2 linked regions of the Caenorhabditis elegans genome follow. The protein of the gene in region 1 purifies or fractionates together with the protein of each later gene. This does not show direct contact. Each region holds a gene or a part of one and is shown on either strand. Other genes may lie near its edges.

What was found. Proteins that work in one complex are often made in the same cells at the same time.
Region 2: the proteins of acly-2 (region 1) and fbxb-87 fractionate together in Caenorhabditis elegans (co-fractionation; one large-scale study listed by BioGRID). This does not show direct contact.

What each region holds. Positions count from the first base shown.
Region 1 is NC_003283.11:13,114,800-13,120,636, reverse strand, and holds acly-2 (ATP-citrate synthase), read right to left. Parts: upstream 4,150-5,837; 5' UTR 4,130-4,149; coding exon 4,091-4,129; intron 4,043-4,090; coding exon 3,641-4,042; intron 3,597-3,640; coding exon 2,670-3,596; intron 2,624-2,669; coding exon 1,367-2,623; intron 1,322-1,366; coding exon 1,022-1,321; intron 972-1,021; coding exon 597-971; 3' UTR 505-596; downstream 1-504.
Region 2 is NC_003281.10:10,892,703-10,896,815, forward strand, and holds fbxb-87 (F-box domain-containing protein), read left to right. Parts: upstream 1-1,817; 5' UTR 1,818-1,986; coding exon 1,987-2,066; intron 2,067-2,129; coding exon 2,130-3,030; 3' UTR 3,031-3,032; intron 3,033-3,436; 3' UTR 3,437-3,554; downstream 3,555-4,113. Other genes in the region: athp-1 (PHD-type domain-containing protein), read left to right, coding at 1-222, 701-873; com-1 (DNA endonuclease activator Ctp1 C-terminal domain-containing protein), read left to right, coding at 3,726-3,779.

The sequences.
Region 1 (5,837 bases):
TCTCAAGTCGACTGGATACGTACGTCTCCAGAATTTATAAGCGGGTTACCATGGAGATGTGAACGAAGGGAACATGAAGATGCAGAATGAAGGACCAACGGCTTCATATTTCTCAATTCGAATTGTTGGGTGATAAAGAAAAGCCCCCTTTTTTCTGAAACATTTCAAAATGTCCTTTATTATAAAACTTTGAAACATTTTGAGTGATTCATCCATCATATTTTCTGCTGATTTACTTACGCAGCCATCAAGCCGAATCGTTTCCCATCTGCACGATTCCGTCAAAAATCCGTTAATTAGAGGGTTGGCAATAAAATGGCTTGACAGATGTCACACACCATTTTAGAAGCTTTCTTTGTCTCACTGACTGTCTGACTGCCCTCTGCTTCCTATCGTTATTGTTGCACAACATCTGCCACTCCACAAAGCTAAGCGTTTTCTATCATTTTTTCCCGCAAATTCTAAATTTATTTTCTGATGATTTTGAAATTTGAAACTCAATAAATCAATGTACAGTTTATTCCTACTTTTGGCAATTTTGGGATGCATTAAAAAGGTAAGTGAATAGGGTGAAGTGGGGGAAGTGATAATCAAATTCACAAGTTTCTCTCTGGCATGATGTATGAAATGTCATCCCAAGGATGACGGTAGAGTCCTTGTTTGAGTCGTGATTGGTCCAAATAATGTCCGATGAATCCGATGGAGCGACCGAGCACAAACATTCCATTCAGAGCACCTATCTCGATAACTTCTTGAGCTTCAGCTGTTGTGAACATCCCACTGTTGCGCAAGATGTCGACGAAGATGATGGCAATAGCTCCATCAACATTTAGAATGAGGTTTGGCTTCTTGGCAGTGGTGATCTTCTCAACTTCCAGAGCATAATCGAGAAGTGGTGTTTCTTGAGCAAACTCCTTTTTGTTCAAAGCAAATCTCTTGAGAATCTCGACACGCTTATCAGGGTTATTGATCTGAAATTATTTCATCAATTATCAAAAAACTGTATTTTCTTGAAACTCACGCTCTTGACACGATGGCCGATACCCATAATATGAGTTCCACGTTTGCGCATTTCTCCGACAAACTGATTTGGAGACCACCCTTGATCGAAAGCCTCAGAGAATTGACGAGCAGCTCCATCGAGAGCACCTCCGAATCGGTCACCGATGGTGAGGAGTCCAGATGTGAGAGAAGATATCAAGTCCTTTCCAGCGCGAGCACAGACGATAGTATTATGAGCACCAGAAACTGCTGGTCCGTGATCAGCAGTGAGCATCAAACAGATCTCTATGAACTTGTTGGCATGTGGAGGGAGACGTTTCTGAAAAAGGAAAATATACAAGGCAAATTAGATTTTTTTTTGAACCTGGAACCACAGCAAGCCTAGAACTCCACCGATTCCCATATCCGACTCGAGGACTTTGGTGATTGGGACGCCAGCATAGTTCAATTCTTCTCCGCGTTCGTCACAAATAGAGGTCATGAAGGAAGCTGGTTTGCGAATAAGCCCGAGTTCCCGAGCCCAGGCATAGTCCATTGGAACTGCAGGTGGTGGAACTTCCGGCTGTGGAACGATGATTTCAAGTCGAAGCAATTCTTCATAAGTCTGACGAATCTTGTTTCCGAGGTCGTCAAACGAATCTGGAACCAAAGCACCAGCAGTACGAAGAGCTGTATTTTTGCATGCAGCAGTTTCTCCTTGTCCATTTGCAGAAGCTCCAGCATGACCGAACTGAACTTCTGAAGTAATGTGATCTGCACATGTTCCAATGCACCAAGCAATGAGAGGCTTCGTGATTTTCTTTTCTTTCAATAGCTCGACAATACGATATTCTTCTATACCTCCAACTTCTCCAAGGAGGACAATCATCTTAACACGATCATCGTGTTGATATCTCATAACGTGGTCGGTGTACGTACTTCCTGGATAGCGATCCCCTCCGATAGCAATTCCTTCGTAAACTCCGTTGGTATTCTGTGAAATAATGTTGTTGAGCTCGTTCGACATTCCTCCTGAGCGGGACACGTAAGCGACACTTCCAGGACGATAAAGTTTCGAAGCAAGAATATTATCCATCATTCCTCCGGTATTTCCGATCTTGAAACATCCTGGCTTGATTCCTCCAACAGTAGCAGGACCAATTAAGGTAACACCCTTATCTTCAGCAATTTTAAGCAATTTTCTTGTTTGATTTTCTGGAACTCCTTCGGCAATAATTGCGATAACCTTGATTTGTGTAAATTGAAGAGCCTCCAGAACAGTTTCAAAAACTGAACGCATCGACGCGAACGTGACCATGACAGTGGCATCTGGATGACTCGCGAAAGCTTTTGCCATAGATTTGTAAGCAGGAATAAGGATTTCTTTCTGTCCGAAATAATACTTTTGCTTGTTGTCTCCAGTGAACGGATAGGTTGAAGCGACGACTGATGGGGAGTGTCTTCTGCAAACAAAATCGAAATCAAGCATTCCTTGAATAGCTTTGTGTTGTTGTCCCCAAATGATAGCCTTTGTGTCGTTCTCGAACAAGCTTTGATGAAGAGGGTGCCTCTTGGCGAGAGGATGTTCGATTGTGGAAGTGTTCGGAGCTGGAGATGCTGGAGGACGTTCCGTGCCTGCAGTCTGAAAACAAAAACTAAATTATTTCCTATGAATAATTAGAACATACGTTTCTTTCTGGGCTCAACAAAAATTGTCCGGTGGTTTGAGGAGCCGTCGGGACTGTTGGCATTGGCTTCAATCCGAGCGCAGCTCCGACAATTGCAGTCATATGAGTTTCCGGTCCAAATACATAAATCGGAATTTCTAGTTTTGTGGCAGCATCCTTGACACGTCGCAGTCCTTCTTGGTAGTTCGGACCACCACGTCGAACGTAGATGGAAACATTATGTTCCTTGAGCTTATCAATGAAAGTTTCGAACGCACGAACGATTCCTCCGAATGTTTTTGCGACATTTGTGAAGTTAGCAATGGATCCACCAATGATGAGAACCTTACCATCAGGACGTGGAGCACCTTCTGTCATGACGGATAAAATAGTCTTGGCGTACTCGTAAGTTTGAGCTTCCGATGGATCTCCAGAATATTCTCCGTAGTTAGCAAGTTCAGATGATCCTCCAAGATCACAAACAGTATCGGTAAACACAACTGATGCTCCTCCACCAGCCACCATGGTCCATACGCGTCCCTTTCTGTTAAGAATAGTCAGCTTCAAAGATGCTCCAGTCTTCGCATCCATATCAGAAATGTATTGCTCCTCCGAAGTCAAATCACGTCCAAATGGTGCCGGGAACTCCAGAGTCGGAGCGATTCGTGCAGAAGCATTCCGACCGCTCCATTTATCCGAGCACAGAAAACTGGCAGTCTCGTCAAGCTTTGCAGCCAAGTCCAAAATATGAATCTTGCCATTGGTGAGAACAAACGGATTGATCTCCAAGTATGTGAAGTGAAGAGCTTTGTAGGCTTCGTATAAGCTGCGAACGAACTTTCGGATATCATCCTTATCACTACATGGCCCGAGAAGCACGCCTAGTTCTCTCTCCGAAATTGACATAGCATTGTCATCAAGTTGAACTGGAACATGGACTGATCTGGCCTGAAAATATGAAAATTTTTGAGAAATAATTACCTACTACAAACCTTTTCCTCGACGTCTCCAATATCAACTCCTCCCTGCTCATAGAACATAATAACATCGCGACAGCGTTCGCTGTAGATCGCGATGTACATTTCTTCATTTTCAGTATGAGCACAAAACGGCTCAACAATAAACGTGTGCAATCTTCCCTCCGTTTGGCCAACTTTCACATAACTGTTTGCCGTCTTGCCGAACCAAGCTTCCAGCTCTTTAGGAGACCCAATCTTAACAAGACCGAGCTTTCCACGACGCTTGATAAGCTGATCCGGCTTGATAACACCCTTGTTGTCTTGTGCAAGCCATTCGTACTTGGCGGCGACGTCAGAAAACTTATCTCCGGCCTTCACGTGAAAAGCATGTGGGGCACTGACAATTCCGGTCGACTCGAAATATTTGTACAAAACCTGCAATTGTTTTTGTAAATCAATCGAATAAAAAATAAAGCTTCATACCTCTTTTCCTGAGAGTTCGCTGACAGCTTTAGCCGACATATCAGTATGGGTGTAATAACCTGAAAATGGACAGTGTTTAATGGAAAACCGGCAAAGTCACGGATATATTGCGTAACAGACGGATGAAATAGAAGAGAAACAGATAGAAATCATTCGAAAAAAGGAGGATTGTGATGCAAGACGACACGCGGTGGCCTACAAAACAGAAAAAGTGCGCTCCTTGTAGCGGCGGAGGCGCTCGAGATCGAGATCAAACCGAATTTATACATATGAGAAAAAGATTTATCGAAAAAGTAGAGAAAAAGAACACTCTCTGGCGTTGACATTTGCATTTTTATTCAAATTCAATATATTTCACTTGTTGACAAGCCGAATAGGGAAAAAACGGTTGAGAAATTATTTGAAACTTGATTTCAGAAATTATTAAATAAATAAAGAAGAAAATCTATAGAATAGCTTCGAGGGAAGATTGTTTTAATTTAAGGTTTTCTATATTCTGAAATTTCAAAAAAAAAAAAAGTTTTAAAACATTTTCCGACGGCTCTGCAGTCACCATTACGACATATTGCAGAAACTACGGTATCCAATACAGTAAGCTTCTAAAGAGACCCGAAGAACTCGGGGGATGTCCAACTGGGGGGATTACTAACTCGGGGGATTGGCCCCGCCCACAGAACCGTGGCTTGCAATACGCCCATTTCTGCAACTGCCGCACGGTTTTAAAACTGTATTTTTATCAATAGAGCGAGGATTAACAAGAAAAAATGATTTTAAAACCGTGCGGCAGTTGCAGAAATGGGCGTATTGCAAGCCACGGTTCTGTGGGCGGGGCAAATCCCCCGAGTTGGTAATCCCCCCAATTGGACATCCCCCGAGTTCTTCGGGTCTCCTTCTGAAGCTTGAAAGAAGCTTCCCTTAGTGAAACTACAATTTGAAAAAACTGAAAATCAACCTACATCTAGCTAATACATTTTAGACCCCAAATATTTACGCACATGCATCAAAAATACATCATAATTTCGCGCAACTTTGGCTAGGCAGTTTAAAGGCGCAAACTGACTGTTTCTAGTGGGTCTCGCCACGATCTCAGTCATAGTGGTTTCTTCAAGTGCCAAATTTTACAAGTTTGTTAATTTGATGTTTAAAAATCCAGGATTAATTATCGAATGGGCGATAAAGGGGAAATACTGCTGAAAATTGCAGACTTTCCAGAAATCCAATGTCTAGGGACATATGTCCTCTTTTCTTTTTGTAATGTCTCGAAGCCGAAACGAGGAGAAACTCTTTATACATAACTTGTACAATACGAAATGGATATATAATAATTGGAGTTCCAATACTACGAATTTCTTGTCACCGGGGTCATGTACTTGTTTCCCACATTTTCATTTCGAATAAACAAAAAAGAACAGAAACAAAACAATTCTAACTTTTGTTTTACTAATCCACTAATCCTCAAAACATTTCATAGTTGCGGAATCGTTTTGGTTTGCTCCTCCGCGGGCTCTCCGAATACTTACTCGCATAAGTTTCCTGTTTTGCTCATGTCCTTGAGCACACGTATTTATTTCTATGTGAATGTGCATACGGGCGGTCCTAAAGATGAGGAATAAGTAGGCATTGTAATTTGAGCTAAAGAAGAAGAAGAAGAAGTCTAGCTCTCTATTCGAACGCCATTTACTTGAAAGTCAAAGTACTTCTAACTTCAAGACCTCTCAAACTTCTATGATGTATTAGCATATATTTT
Region 2 (4,113 bases), on another chromosome or scaffold:
AACTCGGCACCGCCCATGATTGCCACGTACGATGTGATAAATTGACGGGCGATGCGTGGTGCTCGGTGCTTGCAGATTATCATTGTGATATTGTTCGCGATTATTATTCGGATAATTTTTATATTTCGACACTCGGCACTGAAGCGGTTTTTGTGGATGGACGGGCGGTACGAAGACCGCGGCTGACACCGTTTGAGGCAGCTGAGAAATTGAGAACTCGAGGTATTGGAAATGCCAAGAAATGGGCGGGGATTGGAAACTCCGTCTACAAAATGGATAATAAAAAATTGAGGAGTGCGGAAAATGTGGAAATTTTAATTTTTTTTCCGAAAAATTCCAAAAACTCAATTTTTTTGGTGAAAAATACTAAAAAAATCTACAATTTTTAGGGTTTTTAAGGCATATTAAAATCAATTTTTTCTGAGAAAATTCTGAAAATCCGAATTTTTTGATTTTATTTGTTTTAATGCAAAAATATCTACAATTTCTAGGCTTTTTTTCCAAATTAAATTATTTTTCCTGATAAAATTCTGAAATTCCGAATTTTTTTGATTTTTTTTCAATTTTCCTTTAAAAAAATGCCAAAAAATCTACAATTTTTAGGTTTTTTTTCTGATAAAATTCTAAAAAATTACGAATTTTTGGGATATTCTTCATAAAAAGGATCCATTACTTATTGAAAAAAATTTAATTTTTGCAGGTTCCTCAACAATCATCCCTCCACATATCAAATGTCGATGCCAAAAACATTCTGATCTACAAATTTCGCGCCAAGAGAGCACCGGTGAACTCGTTCGCTGTGGAATCCTGAAACTGGAGCACGGAGCACGTATTCAAATTGGCTGTGTCGCGTTCATCTTCTCTAGGATCTAATTATGTGATCTCTTACCTCTTTTTTTCTGTCCGTGAATATCACGTATTTTGATTTTGAAATTTTTTTATGTGAAATCGTAAAATTTTAATGATTCTTTTGGGTGTTTTTTTTTTTGGAAAAAAAAGATTTTTCCGGCAAACGACACGTACAACAATTGCTGAAATTGAAAATTTCCGGCAAATTCGGCAAACCGGCAAGTTGCCGAACTGCAATTGCCACCCATCCCTGTTGTGGGTGACAATCATTTTCCAAAATTTGAAATTGAAATGTTCAAAAAAAAATTGAGCAACGCAGGTTCTACTCCTACAACAGTAGGTGTATGGAATAAAATACTCAGGCAACTCAAATCTAATATGAAAATATTAAATAGCAATATTTTTGTAGTAAATACGAGAAATAGTGCGTCCATATAATATTACTAAAAATTTCGAATAGATTTCGATTGTCTCAAAATATTACAATTTGATCTCAAAATATTGCGAAATATTCTCAAAAGATTGCTCAATCTAAAAAGATTTCGAATAAGTCTCGGAATATTGCGATTTTATCTTGAAATATCACCCAACTACAAAAATATTGCTATTTAATATTTTCATATAAGATTTGAGTTGCCTGAGTATTATCTAAAACTTTGGGAATATCATTATGAGTGGTGTTGCTCTCGCTCTAACAGGATAAAATATCATATTTCCCAGAGTTTTCAATTGGTGTCAGAGTGTCCCATTTCGGTTTGATCTACGAGAAGCGCTGACGTTACGGTTTTCTGTACAAAAATTTGTAGATCAAACCGTAATGGGACAGCCTGACACCACGTGAGTTTGTCCGGTTATGCCCTGCATTTTGCAAATGTTATGATATTTATAATTTTTATAAATAACATTTTTCAATTGTGGAAGACTGTTAGAGTTTCTTCTGCCAAATGTACCTCCAGAATTTTTTATTTAGATGTGGTTAATGTTCATATCTCTGACCCCATGCCTGCCTGTGTATTAGTTGGAGTGGTCAGGACCAGTGTACATCTATAACGTATGTAGTACCCATTATCTTTTTCCTAATCAATAACCTGTTGGTTCACCAAGTCATTCATTTTCTTATTCATTCTTCTTACAACCATGATGAGAGGTTTTCCAATTTTTCGATTACCGCATAAACCACTACGTTTATTGCTGAAAACTATGGAGGTGCAAGATTTGTGAGTGCATTTTTTTCCCAACTGGAAACATAAATATTCTTATAAGTAGAAACAAGTTTTCAGAGTGAGGATATCGTTTTATTCAAAAACTGCCAAACATGCTGTTGAATCGTTGAATATGAAGCTCATATATTTTTATATAACAATTTCTGGGACAATACAATTTGATATCTTCACTTATAATATGGAAGATCTCAATTTGAAATTGTCTGTGACACAATCTGAAGGAAGGAATTTGATTCGAGTGCACGGTGAAAAAGTAATGACAGGAATCAGTTTGCGGGAGTTTATAGATCAAATTCTTACAATATTCCATCAAGCAACTATTCATAAGCTATTTATTAAGCATATCGACTACGATTATCTAGAAGAATTCAATAATTTGAATATTCAACTTTTACACCTCGCGACTAGGAGCTCACTGAAACATTTTGCAAGACGATTCGATTTTCTAACTTTAGAGCAAATTACTTGGGAAACTCGAGATTTCCAGTCACTTGTGGGCCTCAACTTCAAACATTTAGAAACAAGAAGCACTTTTAAACTAGAAGACTTACTCGTTTCAAATACTTCTCAAATACTTATTCATGAACCATTGCCCCTAACAGATCTATGCATATTTCTAAAACATTGGATCAATGGATCAACTGAACGGCTGGAATTATTCCATATGCGTCTTCCTCAAAATTTTCAGAAGGAAGAATTTATTCAGAATGCCTTAAGTGGTATTAAATACAAAAAACTGGACGTCGACCAAAAACTGGAGTTCGAAGCAGCTGTGGATGTATGGAAGGACTCACACAGAGAGGTGAAAAACGAGGGATTTGGAATCCAAAGGAGCGATGGTACCTACGCAATTATTGTTGTGTGTGATGAGTTTGCAACTAACAAGTATTTGAAGATGTTTGTTTGGAAGCCGATTGATTCAAGTATCGGAGATCTCCTTAAAATTGCATCGTTTTAAATGTTAGTTTTGATTTTTTCTTTGTATTTTTGCGCTAAAATACGGTAAATCTTTTGTTTAATGCGAAGAGGTACGCACCTTTAATGAGTACTGTAATTTTAAACTTATTTTTTGCCGCGTGGTTTCCGTTGCTCGAGCCAAAAAAATGCCGAAGTTATTTATTAGAATTTATTCTTGATTTTAATCGATAAATATATATTATTTACCACAAACCATTTCGACTTTGATCAAAGCTTTGATTTAAATATATTTAATCTTAAATTTCCCGCTGCAAACGCGCTCGCTGACACGGCGCAGAGATAAGAGGGCGCCAGAGAAGTTTTGAGAGAAATCATTTTTTTGAATTTTATTTTCAATGTTTCCTGAATTTCAGCTCAATTAAAGCGGAAAATGTTTATTTTTGCAGAGTATCTACGTGGTCACAAGAGGAAACTTGTACAAAATTAATTTAAATGTTAAACATCTATTTTAAAATGATTTATTATTTATTTTTCTGTTGAATAAATTGAATAAACTTAAATCTTGAATTTAAATCGTGAAATTTAAATCGTTTTGTAATTCTGGTTGCCAATTTACCAGTTCATTTCTATTTTATTAACAATTTCCGCACAGATCATCAGTTTCCCTTCCAGGAATCCCAAAAAATGGACAGATATTACGGTAGCCACGTGGCAAATTCAAGTTTTGACTCATTTATGCAATCTGTGGATCCATTTGAGCCAACACCGAAACGAAGATCCACTGGAGAGGTAATTATGCGAAAAAATCCGGAAAAGCTCGAACTTCAGAGGTTTTTCCAGCTTTTCAAGGAGAATTCTTGAGAAATTGGAAAAAACATAGAAAAACTGGCAGAGTTTGCTCAAATTTTTGTATATAAATGACTGCCTTTGTCAATTTTTGCAGAATATTGTTGAAAATCGAACAATTTCATCAAAACATTGCTGAAAATACAGAAAACCTGAAAATTTCAATGTTTTTCGAGTTTTATGCAGAAAAATGCGATAATTTTCGCCTGAAACTCGTTTTTTTTCAAAAAATCTTTTAGAAAATTGAAGTTTTGAGTATGCTAAAACAATAAATCAA